Linked DNA regions of Rattus norvegicus. The protein of the gene in region 1 purifies or fractionates together with the protein of each later gene. This does not show direct contact. Links are inferred from orthologs where the notes say so. Each region holds a gene or a part of one and is shown in the gene's direction. Other genes may lie near its edges.

What was found.
Region 2: the proteins of Flcn (region 1) and Fnip2 purify together in Homo sapiens (affinity purification with western blotting; 5 studies listed by BioGRID and IntAct, with this or other methods). This does not show direct contact. The link is inferred for Rattus norvegicus from reciprocal best matches to the Homo sapiens genes FLCN and FNIP2.

The regions. Positions count from the first base shown.
Region 1 is NC_086028.1:45,095,032-45,102,922, reverse strand, and holds part of Flcn (folliculin), read left to right. Parts: intron 1-1,294; exon of another isoform or gene 1,295-1,538; intron 1,539-1,791; exon of another isoform or gene 1,792-2,028; 5' UTR 2,029-2,050; coding exon 2,051-2,299; intron 2,300-2,938; coding exon 2,939-3,085; intron 3,086-4,502; coding exon 4,503-4,724; intron 4,725-5,551; coding exon 5,552-5,712; intron 5,713-6,985; coding exon 6,986-7,077; intron 7,078-7,853; coding exon 7,854-7,891. UniProt on the Homo sapiens protein: Multi-functional protein, involved in both the cellular response to amino acid availability and in the regulation of glycolysis.
Region 2 is NC_086020.1:166,899,357-166,907,247, reverse strand, and holds part of Fnip2 (folliculin-interacting protein 2), read left to right. Parts: intron 1-3,068; coding exon 3,069-3,269; intron 3,270-4,699; exon of another isoform or gene 4,700-4,805; coding exon of another isoform or gene 4,806-4,853; intron 4,854-6,706; coding exon 6,707-6,822; intron 6,823-7,891.

The DNA.
Region 1 (7,891 bases):
CGTCTGATGGGCCATATCTTGGCCTATTCTTCCCGGGGACAAGGACCTAGGAAGAAAGTGTCCTCTTGCCTGTATTTAGAGACTTAAATAGTTGCATACTCCTTGAGTAGGATTCTCCTAAGGAGCCCGGGCGTTGTTGTTGTTGTTGTTTATGGAAATGCCCCGGAACCCACACAGTTCAGATGAAGCCCTGTGTGAACGGCGGTCCTGAGTTTTGCTCTAGTTTAAAATCTTGAGTTGTCCCATGTGACTGGATATGGTGGGTGTGAAGACCCTAACCCGTCCTTCCAGACCTTTTTCCAGCCAGCCAGTATGGTCTGCAGTGTCCATGGGTCAGGTATGCAGCTTTGGCCGTCCCCACCTCTGCCTTTGCCACCTCTGCTGTCAGAACCCCTAGGACATTCTGGCCTTTAACACCTTTTCTGGTTAGCTGTAAAGCAGAGAACAAATGCCCCTCGGCCACCCAACCGTGCCGCAGCTGCCTGCAGGCTGCCATATCATTTCGTCAGGTGGAGAAGCGGGGCTTCCCAGACACCACAGCCCTTTCAGGTTCACCCTGTCTCTTCCACTGGAGCACCATTCCCCACTCTTTCCTCTCTCCTCTAGAAATCACATGACTTCCAGTGACCTTCCTGTGGCTCTGCAGGTGGTCAGTTTTGGGTGGTTTTGTTTGGTTTTTGTTTTAGACAGGGTTTTACTCTGGCTAGCCCAGAATTTGCTTTGTAAACTACACTGGCCTCTGCCTCTGTGGCAATGCTGGGATCACCGGTGTGCCACCATGCCTGCCTACGCCTTTTTAAAAACTCATGATGTGATAAAACTCATGACGCAGCATTTAACTCTCTCCCTCACACCATCCACCTCAGCTCCACTGTCTTCCCAGCTGACACCGTCTCTATCAGACTCTGGTCACCTCGCTGGGGTCAGGTCCGGCTCCCCAGATCTCTCCAGTGGGTTAGCCAGAGCGTATCCTGCATGTGCCTGGTTTCATTCTGTCCGAGATACAGCGGTTTGTAGGATTGCCTGACTCTCAAGGCTGAGTGACACCCATTCTCCCCTTACTAAAGCTCTTATTGGTCCAGCAGGATGGCTTAGGTGGCTCTTTGGTCACCTGCTCTGGAGGGCCCTGTGATCTGTGGAAGCCACATGGTCCCTGTTTGAGGCCCTGGCTGCCCCATTCAGTTCCACTCGAAGCTAAAAAATGTCTGCAAACCCCACCCCAGCATCCGCTCCGCCCCGCCCCTTTGTTTTCCCCATCTCCATCTTCATTATCCACATTCTCTCCTCCCTCTAGTTGAGTCCGCCTACTCATTTTGGAAACTCTGGCACTGTTTGGCCTCCCCACCTGTCACCGTCACCCACCAGTGCCCCATCGTTCTTCAGTGGGCAGTGGGGCTGTCATCTGGCACCTTCTGCTCCTCAGCAAAGCCCTCAGAGCTGGTTTGCCTTCATCAGAACCCTGGGAACCTTGCCATTTCTAGAACAAACGGGGGCCTGGCTGTGGCCACAGAGTTCAAGAGGTCCGCCTCTGCCCTCAGGTCTGCCCATCTCTGAACCCACTCAGGCCCCCCCATCTCTGAACCCACTCAGGCCCCACCCACCTGCTTGGCCCACCCACGGCTCCACCCAGACCTGTGCAGCCAACCCCACCTCTGGTCCTACTCCCCTCAGAGTCCCCTGTATGTGCTGCAGAGCTGTGTTCCAAGTCTCCCCATGCAGAAAGATGTTCATCTCTGTAGGTGCCCCCCACCCCGACCCCAAGCACCCCAGCATTCAAACCTTGCCTTGCAGGTGTGGGAGATGATGAAGGCTGCTGACCCTCCTTGGTGCCTGTCCTGTCTGTGTCCATCTATCCGTCCATCCATTTGCTCTTCTCCCCCTCCCCCGTGTCTTTCCTGCCCTTGATGTAGCAACTGTTACGCAGCGAGTGCCCATTGGTGCTGGCAGGTGCGGACACCCTGTCAGAGCCCTTGGCCTGATTCCGTAGCATGGATGGGGCAGGCCCACAGATGCCGTCCTTCCCTACAGGCCTCGGCCATTCTCCAGCACCATGAACGCCATTGTGGCTCTCTGCCACTTCTGCGAGCTCCATGGCCCCCGCACGCTCTTCTGCACGGAGGTTCTACACGCTCCCCTGCCCCAGGGTGCCGGAAGTGGGGACAGTCCTGGCCAGGTTGAGCAGGCTGAGGAAGAAGAGGGCGGCATCCAGATGAGCAGCCGAGTCCGTGCCCACAGCCCAGCCGAGGGCGCCAGCACTGACTCCAGCAGCCCGGGGCCCAAGAAGTCAGACATGTGCGAGGCAAGTGCCCTTTGGGACCGTGAGCTGGTTTTAGCCTTTCTGTGAGAGGTGGGCTGTAGTGGGAGCCTGGGAAACCTCCAAGGTCCTGAGAACATTTTTCTCACCACCCCAGCATGAGCCCTTTTAACCTAGTCAGTGCAGAGGCCGGTCTAGTCTACAGAGAGAGTTCCAGGACAGTCAGGGATGCACAGAGAACCCCTGTCTCGGGGGGAAGAAAACCACACATCATTACACATACTTAAAGGAAGTCGTACCAACTAGAGATAATGTTTCTCCAGAAAAAAGCAAGTTTCTTTTCTTTCTTTCTTTCTTTTTTTCTTTTTTTTTTTTTGTTGTCGTTGTTGATTTTGGTTTTGGTTTTTCTGAGACTGGGGTTTTCAGTGTAGCCCTGGCTGTCCTGGCACTTTACTCTTTAGACCAGGCTGGCCTCAAACTCACAGAGATCCTCCTTCCTCTGCCTCCCTAGTGCTGAGATTAAAGGTGTGCACCACCACTGCCCAGCAAGAAGATGATTTTTAAAAAGTTTTAAAAATTTAAAAAGGATTGTGTTTTCTATATTTAGATATGTTGCCTGCTCCTAGCCAAGAGATTTATTTATTTATTTATTTATTTATTTATTTTGTCGTCCTTTGTGTGCAGGGCTGCCGCTCGCTTGCTGTAGGGCACCCAGGTTATATCAGTCATGATAAGGAGACCTCTATCAAGTACGTCAGCCACCAGCACCCCAACCACCCACAGCTCTTCAGCATTGTCCGCCAGGCCTGTGTCCGCAGCCTGAGCTGTGAGGTAAGGCCAGCGGCAGGCTATCCGCGGGAGACGTGCACGGGGACAGATAGGTTCATTGCTGTTTACCAACACAGGGGGCCTTGCTTGTCAGTGCTGTGTGAGCATGGAAGCAGTCGTTAGAGCCTGAAGAGTAAGTCCCTGTGGACTCGGGCTGTCTACATAGGGGTTGGCATTTCACTTCGAACAACAGACTGGTTTTTCTAGTCCATTCTTGATGGGCAAGTCTCTGAGATGGGACGGTCCCTAGGCAGTGTCACCTTTACATTGTATCAACATGCCATGGTGGAATGCTTAGAACCTTCCAAAGAATGCATCCGGCTGCAGGGCTGGCTCAGTGGTGAAGAGGTCCTAAGTTCAATCCCAGCAACCACATGTTGGCTCACAACTGTCCATAGCTCAGTCCCAGGGGACCTCACACCTTCTTCTGGCCTCCATGGCCACTGCACGCACGTGGGATAGACATATATGCCGGCAAACAGAGCAGAGAAGAAAAATAAAGGTTTAACAACAAACAAGAATGTTTGCCCCTGAGCTTCTGCTGTGGGGCCCGAGTCTCAGCTTCTAGGTCTGATCTGTCCCACAGGCATATATGGCCCCTATCTCCACCTTGTAGGATCCCTGGGCGCCATGGTGCTTGTTCTCAGTGTGCTCTATACCTCCGTCTCCTGCTGTACGCTCAGCAGCACCAGATGCCCTGTGCACAGTAGTCACAGGTCCAGCAAATTTGTCAGGAGGGAGAGACCAAAGGACTCTCTAAAAATAGGGTGTGCTATGGGCTGGAGATAGCTCAACAGCTACGATTCTGTGCTACTGATACGGATGATCTCAGTTTAGTTCCTAATATCCACCCACGCTGGGTAGCTTACAGCCTCCCATGACTCCAAATCCAGGGGATCCAGCACCTTTGGCCTCTGCAAGCACCTGTACTCGTGTTTACACCACCCCCTCCTCCAACCCTACACACCACATTCCCATGATTTAAAGACCAGAAGTAGCCATTGCTTCTGCTGGCTCTCCAGTCTGCCCATCAAGAGCAAGTTGTAACATTTGGTGCCATTCATTGATAGGACACTGGCCTGCTCTGTTCCAGCCAGGCCCTGAGTCCTAACCCCAGCACCACCAAAAACAGGAAAAGAGGGCCTGGAGAGATGGTTCAGTGGTTAAGAGCACTTACTGCTCTTCCAGAGTCCTGAGTTCAAATCCCAGCAACCCCATGGTGGCTCACAACCATCTGTAATGAGATCTGATGTCCTCTTCTGGTGTGTCTGAAGACAGCTACATACAGTATATATATACTTATATATAATAAATAAATCTTTAAAAAGTCTTTAAAACAATAACAGAAACAGGAAAAGAGGCCCACGAGGCTTGAGGTAAAGTCAGGACTTCCCCTAAAGTTACTGTGGCTCCCTCCAAGGTGTGCCCTGGTCGTGAAGGCCCCATCTTCTTTGGTGATGAGCAACATGGCTTTGTGTTCAGCCACACCTTCTTCATCAAAGACAGCCTGGCCAGAGGCTTCCAGCGCTGGTACAGCATCATCGCCATCATGATGGATCGGATCTACCTCATCAACTCCTGGCCCTTCCTGCTGGGCAAGATCCGCGGGATCATCAGCGAGCTCCAGGGCAAGGCCCTCAAGGTGATGCTCAAGGCGGGGCTGTGGCCGTTTGGCATGGATGCTGGGTGCCCGGGCAGCAGTGGTCCTCCTGGCTCTGCCTCTGCTTTGGGCCCACGCTTCAGTGCGGTGATGTCCCGGGCGACCCTCCCAGCCAGCCTGTAACTCTCCTGGTTTCATCCTGGTCTTGAATTCAGAGACCCGCCTGCCTCTGCCTCCTGAGTGCTGGGATTAAAGGCAATCACCCCCGCCACAGCTGTCCTAACTGCTATTCAACCTCTGACTTCTTGCCCAGTACCTTTACTTCCTGTACCCTTCACAACCCAAACTGCCTGCTACTCTTATCTAGACCCCACCTAGGGCACCCCCTCCAGCTGCAGAAGAGCACACAGGCAGGCATGGCCATGCTTTGGTCACAGACCTTTAGACTCAGTGGCCCATTTCTCATTTGTGCTCTGTCCTTGGGCAGTAGAGGAGGAGGCTGTTCATCCTTCGTCCTGATAGGTGGAGTGGCTGGACTGTATTAGAATGTGGCTGGAAGGCATAGGAGCCTCCTATAAGGAGTTAGTCCTGTGTCTGTCACCTGCAAGGGTCTGTGAAATGAACCTGAGTACTTGAAGAACGGTGACTATCCAGTGGAGTCCAAGGAGCCAAGTAGGGGTAGAGAGGAACACACAGAACCCCCTGGGTCAGCAGAACCATTCTGTGAGGCATTGCCAGACTGCTGGCATGGACCGTGTTCTGAGTCAGGAACACAGAGTGGGAGAATCTGGGAAGTGGGGTGGCAGTAACTGAAAGGTTCGGTGGTAGCCATCCCTGAAGAGGCCCTCTTCTCCACCCTTTGTATTCAGGTGTTTGAGGCAGAACAGTTTGGATGTCCACAGCGTGCCCAGAGGATGAACACTGCCTTCACACCCTTCCTGCACCAGAGGAACGGCAACGCTGCCCGCTCTCTGACCTCCTTGACCAGTGATGACAACTTGTGGGCCTGTCTGCATACTTCCTTTGCCTGGTAATGAATCCTGGGTCTCGGCATCTGTGAGCCATTAGAACAATGCAAAGTCACCCATCTGCCTCCTGGTGGGGTTGGCTTGTGTACCTCTGTGGGTCTGCTGCAACCCAGAGAGGTCTCTGTCTCCCCACTGGATGGAAACCCTGTGAGGTAGAACTCATTTTTGCACTGACACAAGTGGGAAGACCACCAAGTCTCCTCTCTGAAGATGGCAGCAGGTTTCTAGCTCAGGCCTCTCCCGAGCCGGTAGCTGGTGCTTTGGGCTGAGGCCTGGGAGTTTTTGCCGGTGGGGAGCAGTCAGCTGGTGTCTGGGGTGAAGGTCTGGTGTATGGGTGCCCTATGAAAAGGGAGCTCCTGACCCTCCACTGAGTAGTCCAGGAAAACGGAACATGTAGAGCCTTAGCACCTGAGTGTAGCAGGGACATTCTGCTCCTTCTGGAGTTTGTTTGTCAGCCGATGGGCATGTAGGCTGGGCCTGTTCCTTGGCCATTGTGAATAGAGCAGCAGTAAACAGGAGTATTTAAGGATCTCCGCTGTGGTCGCTTGAAGTCCTTCAGGTCATGCCCGGGAATGGCGTATCGGGTATGGATTTGGAGGCTTCTCCCCACTAAGACAGGAAAACAGAGTTGGGTCCTGTGGAACTGCAGTTACAGATGGTTGAGAACCACGGAGTCAGTGCTGGGAGCTCACCCCATTCCCCGGTGAGAGCAGCAGATGCTGTTAACTGCTGAGCTGTCTCTTTAGCCCCTGTCCTGGGTTTTCCTGCTGAGAGGAATTCTAACTGATGTGAAAGGGGATGTCTAAGTAGTTTGAATTTCTGTTTCCCTGATAGTTAAGGATATTGAATACCTTTTCACATACTCATTGGCCATTTGTAACTTCTTCCTTTGAGAATGGTCTAGAATGTTTTTGGTTTTTACACCTATTATGTAGCCGTGAGAACATTACCTCACTTAGCAGAACTAAAGATTGTCTGGGGTACAACTTAGGTTCCCTTCATCTCGAAGGTGACTTCTGAATTGGGATTAAAACCAACAGTTCCTTCAAACATCCCATACTCTATTTTTCTCATCCCCTCTGAAGAAGGACCAAACTCATGTCTTACGGAATGTTTCCTCAGTGATGGGGGCTGGGGTGTTGGAGGGCGGTCTTTGAGTATGCTTATGTAGGCCATCTTCTGTGAGCTGGGGTTTGAACCTAGGGCTTAATAAGCCTCAGGTTCAGTTTTCCCATTGGCAGGGTACCTCATGACTGGTATTGCATTTTTCTCCAGGCTCCTGAAGGCATGTGGTAGCCGGCTGACAGAAAAGCTCTTAGAGGGTGCTCCCACAGAGGACACCCTGGTCCAGATGGAGAAGCTTGCTGGTAAGTCTGTTTTGTTTTCTGGGCTGTCTATAGTGGCAGCAACACCCCTGGCTTGTGGCTGCCATAATGAGTGGAGCTGGTACAAGGGAGTCTGGATGTGAATAAGCATGATAGGCCTTTGTGACAGCCACTCCCATGCCCTTGTTGATGTTATGATTCCGACTCATCTTCCTCGATGGTGCCTATTCTCAAGTAGGTTGGGGATTCTTAGAGAGTTCCCTGAAGGCAGCTCCACTGGGCAATCTCGAGGTGGCTCTGCTTGCCAAAGTTTCCTCTAGGTAGCTCAGCTGGTTTCCTCCTCAGCAATTGTTTTTTGCTTCTGTAACCTTGAAGAGAACCCTTGTGAATCTTGTTAGTTTCAGGAACTTCCTGAGACTTGTATCTCATAAGCCTCTCCTTAGAGGGAATGTTTTAGTTCAGAGGAAATCACTGTTCAACATCATCCCTACATCCATGGTCTGGTTCTCATTGTGACATTCAGCAGAGGTTGTCCGTGTGAAGGGAGATGGGGTGAAATGGTGTGTGGAGCACAGGGCTGTTTCAGCAGTTGAGTGGGATTAGCATCTTCCAGGAAGAGCTTCTAAGATGCGTCTTCAGCCCAAGTCTTCCTCCCTTCACCCCAGATTCCTAGTCAGTAGCAGAGTCATCGGGCCTCTCTGGGATACAATAGGAATTAGTAGTGTAGCTGTAGGTGCCCCAAAGCAGAAATGGCCACAGAACCAAACTGTAGCATCTAAGGGGATGCTCACTCCATACCTGTCCTGTTTGCCCTGTAGACTTAGAGGAAGAATCAGAAAGTTGGGATAATTCAGAG
Region 2 (7,891 bases), on another chromosome or scaffold:
CACCACAGGGTTGCTGGGGACTGAACTCGGGACCTCTGAAAGAGCAGCCAGTGTTCTTAACCTCAGAGCCATTTCTCCAGTCCTCCTGTTCTGTTTGTAGTGGCCAAACATGTGAAACAATCTCTCTTCATCTCCTTCTCCCTTTCTCTCTCCCTCTCCCTTCCCTTCTTGCTCCCCTTCCTCCCTTTTCTCTCTCCCTTCCCCCGTCCCTCTCCTCTTTCCCCTCTCTCCTCTTTCTCAACTTATTTTTTATTTTATATATATGAGTGTGTTTGTCTACATTTAGGCATATGTACCACATGCATGGCTGGTCTATACAGAAAATGGCAGATTTCCTAGAACTGGAGTTACAGACAATTATGAACTGCTATGAAGGTTCTGGGACCTGAACCCAGGTCTTCCACAACAGCAATATAGCCGTGCCATCTCTGGATAAATGAGTCGTGCTATACTCTTACAAGAGGGTACTCAAAAATACGAATAAGGCACTAAAATGCAATAATTACAGCTATATCTTAAAAGAAGCCAGACACAAAAGATTATGGACCATGTGATCGTATTTATATGAAATTCTACAAAAGTCAGAACAATAGTTCTATGTAGGCTTAGATTTTTCAAAACCTACTTTATTTAGGGTTCTTAAACGTTTCAACCTCCCTCCTAACCCACTGACCATAGGTAGGGAAAAAAAGGTTGATAGGAAAAGGGTGTTGTGGACCTGTTTAGAAGTAGTTCCTTGGGGTGGTTCCACTCATTGTTGTCGGGATACCAAGCAATAGCAAGCACCAGGTGAATCAGTTGAGGTGGCTTGATCTAGCAGAAACAGCGCGGCTCCACCATTTAGGTACAAGTCATGGAATGGCCAGAATCAGCAGGAATACCATGAGAAGTTCTATGGCACATTTCTCTCTATGAAGTGAACACCAGCAAAGATCAGCTAGGGAAGCGTTGCATGGCATAGCAACACAAGAGCGTCCTCCCGCTGTTTGTGGGGTTCCATTTATCTTCTTTCTAAACATCGTGCACCCTCTCAAATGTCTGTGTTCAGCCCTTTTACAAGACAGCTTCCAGGAAAGCATCATGTGAGACGACTGAGTTGTTAAAGAAACCAGAAATGTCCACTTCAGTTCTAGGAGGCGTAGTATTAGTTGTTGCTGGGATGACTCACTAGAGAGGTCTGACTACAAAGGAACTTGAATTTCTGTGGTCCTGCAAAATTTTAATACATGATTTTGATAGTGGGTGCACAAGTGTGTGTGTGTATATGTATATATATGTATATATATTTGTTAAGCTCATCCAGTTTACATATATAGTGAGTGAATTGTAACGTGTAAATTACATCAATAAATAAGACAAAATGACGTTCAAAGGAGTATAAAAGGCAAACTTCCAAATAGCACACCAGTACCCTTCCAACATAAAATGATGGATACTTATCAGCCATATGACCCATGGGACACTTGCATAAGGCTAGGAAGATTTTATACTCTAACATTATGACTACTATTTTTAATAAAGTTTCTTCATAGCAAAACAATCAATTTGATAAAATTAAATGTAATCATTCTGTTATAAAACATCACACCTACATATTATTCATATCTGTACTCCCAAATTTCGAGATCAGTTTTAAAAGTCAGGCATTAAGAAAATTAATCAGAAAAACAGCCTTTCTGAAGATTTAAGGATAGAATATTAACAATGTCAAAATTATCTCCCAGAAACTAGGAGTAGTATTCCAGATGAGAAAAGCAAGCTGCTGACTGGTAAAAAAGCCTCCCGTAGCATGTGGATAGATATCAGGTCTCAGTGCTCCTATAACATGCTGCTGTCCATACCACCCGTGGAGCACGTGCAAGACTTGAGGCTTTGGGCTTGGATGCAGACCATCCCAAGGGAGCTTTTACTATTTTACCACCAGCTCCTGCTACTAACTTGTCACATATATGAATCACTAGCTCAGCTATTTAACACCTACAGAACTACAGTTTCCATCTCGGATCTCTGGATCTCTTGTGGGTTGCTACAGGAAGGCAATGAGTTCAGAGCAACTACAGGTAGAGCAGAAGCCCAATTGAGAGATGAGATGTTTAGGAGGCCATTTTCTCTGTTATTTCAAGGTTATCTTACTTTGTGTTTATTTTCTGTTACTGTGATAAAATACCCTGACAAAACCAGCGTAGAACAGAAGGGTTCACTTTGGCTCACTGTTTGAGGTCATAGTCTGTCACTGCAGCAGGAGCCTGGGTACAGCTGGTCACACTGCATCTGTGGACAAGCAGGAGAGAGTAATGAACGTGTGTACTCTTCACTTCCTCCTATATAGAGCCCAGGTCCCAGCCTAGGGAATGGTGCCACCCATCATGAGCCAATCTTCCCACCTAAAATATCCCAGTCAAGACAGTCCTTTATAAGCATGCTCTAAGTCTCACTTGACAGCTGAGATTCATCATTACAGACGTTTATACCTTATGATACAGTTTATTATGAAGTATTTTTAAGAAAAAATACTCAGCAGCCAGACTTTAACCTTTTAGATTCATCTGGATCAATAAGTTCTCAGCCTCATTATAATTGATTATTAGAAATTATTGGTATGCATAACCACAGTTACTAAAGAAACTTTGTTTAACAATTAAAGCTGTAACTTTAAGGAATTGGTGCTGGTGGTGGTAGTATTGTGTGTACACATGTGTACACATACATGTCTGTGTATATGGAGGCCAGAGGTCACCCTTGGGTGTATTCCTCAGGTTATCTGTCCACCTTCTGATATTTTTTTGTTTGTTTTTAAAGGTGTGTGTGTGTGTGTGTGTGTGTGTGTGTGTGTGTGTGTGTGTGTGTGTGTGTGTACATGTATACCACAGCACATTTGTAGGTCAGGACAACTTGAGCGTGTCCTTCTCAGGCACTGAACTTGGATTTAAGCGCTGCTTCAGCAGCACACCTCTCTGAGTACCTGTCAAGTTCCAGGCTTCTGCAGTTCGCACCTTCATCCTGTAATCTCAGACAGCACTCTATCCATTCCGAGCTGAGAATGCCAATCCACCGTCTCTCTCTTTCAGCACCCAGTGCTCGATGAGCCCATAGCCGAAGCCGTCTGCATCATTGCAGACACTGACAAGTGGACTGTCCAGGTGGCCACAAGTCAGAGGAAAGTGACGGACGCCATGAAGCTGGGCCAGGATGTCCTGGTCTCTAATCAGGTGTCCAGTTTACTCCAGTCCATCTTACAGCTCCATAAGCTTCACCTCCCCGCTGATTTTGTAAGTATTTGGTCTTCTGCCATCAGTAATCATATAGCTGGAAAATGGCTTTTATTCAGTATTCTGATTATAAAAATCACAAGTTCGGACACATCATTTTTAATATATTGAAGGTTAGCGTTAAAGAAAAATGGAGCATGCAGCATCAGACCTGCAGACCGGGCACAGGACCGGACGGAGCAGAGGACAGTGCCTTCTGTACAAAGCAGATAGTAAAGTAGATAAAGGGAACAGAGCCTAAAAAGCAATCAGAGTCCTCCTTGGAGAGCGTCTAGACGGGTCCGAGACCAGCCAGTTTCTGAAGGGAGTGTAGTTTCTTCTGTTCTGTGAGCACCCTCCCAGTCCATTGCAGGTGAATGGAAGCACTTCAAATTTGGAAGTTCTGTGTAAGAACTTAGAACATGGTGTCAGCTGTTCCTTTCCAAGTGGGATTTGATAATCACTTTTGTAACATTTTAAATAGAAATGAAGAACAGCCTAGAAAGTCCTAGAAAATTATTTGCAGTTCCTCCCTAGTCTGTGGGATAGATTTAACAAATTTCTTTTGATATGTGGTATGTGTGCAGAGAGGTTGAAAGTCTGTTTAGGGAATGAGAGAGAGAGGTTTGTGAAGGGGAGGAATGAAAGGCACATAACTGGCAGCTTAGGGACAGTGGCCATAGGGATGCACTTGCAAGTGCCTGCCTTTCTGCTTTCCTTCCATCAGTGCAGGATTGCTTTCTGCAGCACAGCCTGAGCTCAAAGCTTCCACCTTCCTCCTGGCCTCAGGAAATAGCACAGAATTATTTAACAGCAAAACAGGAAGCTGAGTATCCGTTAATACACTGACTGCCACTTCACTGGTCACCTAAATTCTTACGGTGGGGTCCTCAGTTGCACCATTTTGCACACAGTCAGGACTTTGGTGTGGGCTTTCTAAAGATGGGTATGGACACTGTCATACTGTAGCAGGTCAGGAAAACCTTGCAGCATCCCTGGATTTCACTTGTGTGGCGGATGATTCTGAGTGTCTTTGAAGCTTAGGTTTCTTGTTTGCATCATGAAGATGTTACAGATATGCTGTAAGGATGCTCTGAGGGCCAGAGAGGAAGCGCTGCTTTTTTTTTTTTTTTCCAAAAGTGTCAAAGTACCACACCAGCACAGGTAGCTTTAAAACTCACTTGCATATATATTCACAGTCAAAGGGTGGTCATGACAGCCAACTCCAAGTTCTACTTCTGTGCTGCATAACCTCCCAGAGCCTCAGCTTATCTGTACATCTGAAAGAGTGAATAAACGTACGAGTGTGCTTCATGAGCTTAGGAAAAGTAGTTAATTCATACGAAGCACTTGGAATCATGGCAGATTTTACAAGCCACCAGTAAGTCAGTCTGATTGGCATGTCTTGGTGACAGTTCAGCAGTATCGAAGGTGTAAGAACTGGCAACGCCTTTCATAACAATCTTTATTTGGCTCTTAGCTGAAGCGTGCTCTGCAGACTGTGGGTCCAAGGGGCGTCAGGAGCACCACTCAGCGTTATTATGATCTCACTTTATCCTAGAAGTGTTTTGATCTGTCCTGATTTTGAGACTTGAATTTCCTTTTCTGTAAGGGAAGGAGGAGATATTAGACCCTGTGGTGGTGTTACTGTCTTTACAGATGCTGTCATTGGATTGTCTAAGACATGGTTCTCATTGTCTGACATCTTAGCTATCAAAGCAATAATTTACAGAACATTCCTTTTGCTTCATTTGGTAGAAACATACATGGCCACTTGGTAATACATGGATGACTTACTTAACCTGGGAAAACCAAAATCCAGAAGAGTTCCATCTAAGCACTGCTTACATATGAAAGGAAAAAAATAGCTAAGTTTTAGAAGTTGAAAATTGGGTTGGGGATTTAGCTCAGTGGTAGAGCGCTTGCCTAGCAAGCGCAAGGCCCTGGGTTCGGTCCCCAGCTCCGGAAAAAAAAAAAAAAAGAATAGAAGTTGAAAATTACATTGCATCTCAGGAATAAAATCTTACAAAGAAGGGAAAACTACTCAACATAACTCTATTTGATTATGAAGCTTTAAACTATTTTTTTGTAAATGTGGTTTTTTTTTCATTTAGTATACAGTCCTAGACCCACATTGCATCATATACTTTTTCTGTAGACTAAGAACGCTATACATAAACCACTTTAAGACTTAAGAAGTCACTATAATTTGAATGTTCTTGTTGTGTATCTTGTAACTCTTATTAAACACTTACAACTTTATTCCATAGCGAACCAAAAGTTGGTAGAAAAATTCCTCTGCTACTTCCCTATGCTCATTTAAGGGACCATTTCTGAGATCGGTGGTATCCCTTCAACTTGAGTAGTGCTTACATGCTGTTGGGCTTGTCCCTAGCACAGTACCTAAGATGCTAACCAGTGAAACACTGAAAGTGCCCTTGTCTCACAGACACTTTGTCTGCCCTGATGTTGATCAGCCCAGATGGTCAGGATCAACATTTTCAAATGCATCTGTTAATCCTTTTACCTTGAAAATGAGAGGACTGATGGTCCAGAAGGAAATTATGCATGATGGAATTACCCTGCCAAAGCCTTCGAGTATCTCCCAGAGACACTTAGACAGCTGCCTGCCAAGTGCAGAAGCATTTGCTGCCGGTGAGAGATGTAGATGACTGCAGTTCTCTAACCACTGAGGCTGGACACCATCCCAAGGGTGAAGACATCCCCCAAATCATGTCTCTCCTATTGCTACTAAAGACTTAGTTAAAGGATACTCTCGATACCAAAATAAAAGTGAGGGACATTGTTCCAATCATTCTGCTTTTGGGAATGTATTATGCCAGAACAGTCTGAGGTGTAGGAAGAAAACAAGAACTAAAACATTTTCCACAAAATTATACCCCAAATGTAGATTTCCCCATGGCTAAGTAAATAATGGTAAGTTAACGTTCTCTAGAGCATTGGCCATAAACATGGCACAGTAAGGAACTCTTAAATATGAGATTATTGCTAAGTTTCTTAATGACAAGAAATTTTGTGAACAGAGGCATAAAGGACGAGTGCAAAAATCCACTTTTGCAACTCACTGCTCAGTAGGGTTTTGATACACTTAAGGAGGAATGTGGTGCTCAAGAGACTTAACATTGACGACGGTATTGACCATAAGACTGGTTCCACGGAAAGAGAGTTGACAACTTAAAAGCCAAAAAACAGGAATGTTCATGCTTATGGAATGATTTAACTTCTGTGAAATGTTTTCTTTTAAAGATACTAGAATGATACCATATAACAATGTTAATAGCTATTTTATGAAAAACTCAAGCTGGTAGTTTTGGGGGTTAAATCGAAAGGGGGGCAATTACAGCTGTGTTTGTAGAACTAACTAAAGAGAAGCCCCGCTCTGACCCTGGCGGATGCTGCAGTTGTAGTCCTCATTGTGAATGCTGTTGGCTTTGCAGTGCATCATGCATCTGGAAGACAGACTACAGGAGATGTACCTCAAAAGTAAAATGCTTTCAGAGTATCTCCGGGGACACACACGTGTGCACGTGAAAGAGCTGAGCGTGGTGCTGGGGTGAGTTCTGGGAAAGGCTGGCCTTTCTCCAACGTGTACTGGCTGCAGTCCGATGCAGCACGCACATGCACACATGCACACACACACGACCTATTGGCCTGTGTCATTCTCTATCTACAGGATCAGTATTTCTCACTGTGCCCAGGGACAGTCAGAGGTGTGCCCATTCCCCAGTGAGTTGCAGCTTGTAGGCTGGAGTGACATTTGATCTAATTCTATCTCTTCATTCATAGTGACACTGTAACAGTGTAAAAGACACAAGCTATGAGGAGTAGTAGCTTGTCTTACATGGTGGAGGAGGTGGGAGGCTCTTTGAGTGGACCTCCTGAGCTTACTCACCCAAGGGAAGACCTGCTCAATACTAAGAATGTACACTATCTTCTGAGGACACTTGTCACACTTTATCTACAAAACCTTCTGACTCCACTTTCATTTCAATAGAAATAACAAAAGGGACTATACCTATGAGGGATTTCCCTCATATTCCTGACGATGATTCTGCTAATTTGGAATAAGATACTACTATGCCTATAATGTCAGCCTTTAATTTTTTTACTAAGCCTGATAAATTTTTGTTTTATTTAGTTAACTTTGTTTTCCTTTTCAAGCAAGCTTTTTCGTTTGCTTTCTTGCTTGCTTGCTTTTGAGATGAGGCATCACTGTTTAGCCTAGGCTGGCTTTAAATTCAGAATCCTTTAGCTTCAGCTCCTCCACTATTAGTATAAGCACGTGCCACCATACCTGCCTCTCAGTGTTTTTTTGTTCTTACTTCTGCTGCTGCTATTGCTACTACATGTGTATGTGAATGCATTTGCGTGCCACATATATGCACATCCACATGGAGAGCAGAAGAGGGATATCTGATCCCCTCAAGCTGGATTTACAGGCTGTTACAAGATGGCAGACGTAGATGCTAGGACATGTGCTCTTAACTGCTGGGTCATCTCTCCATCTCTTATAGTATTAGTTAACAGTTAGACCTCAAATTCTTATCAGATTTTTCTATCTTTTACAGCTAGATTTAGTTAGTTTTTCCTATTGTCTTAGTCACTGTTCTATCACTGTGAAG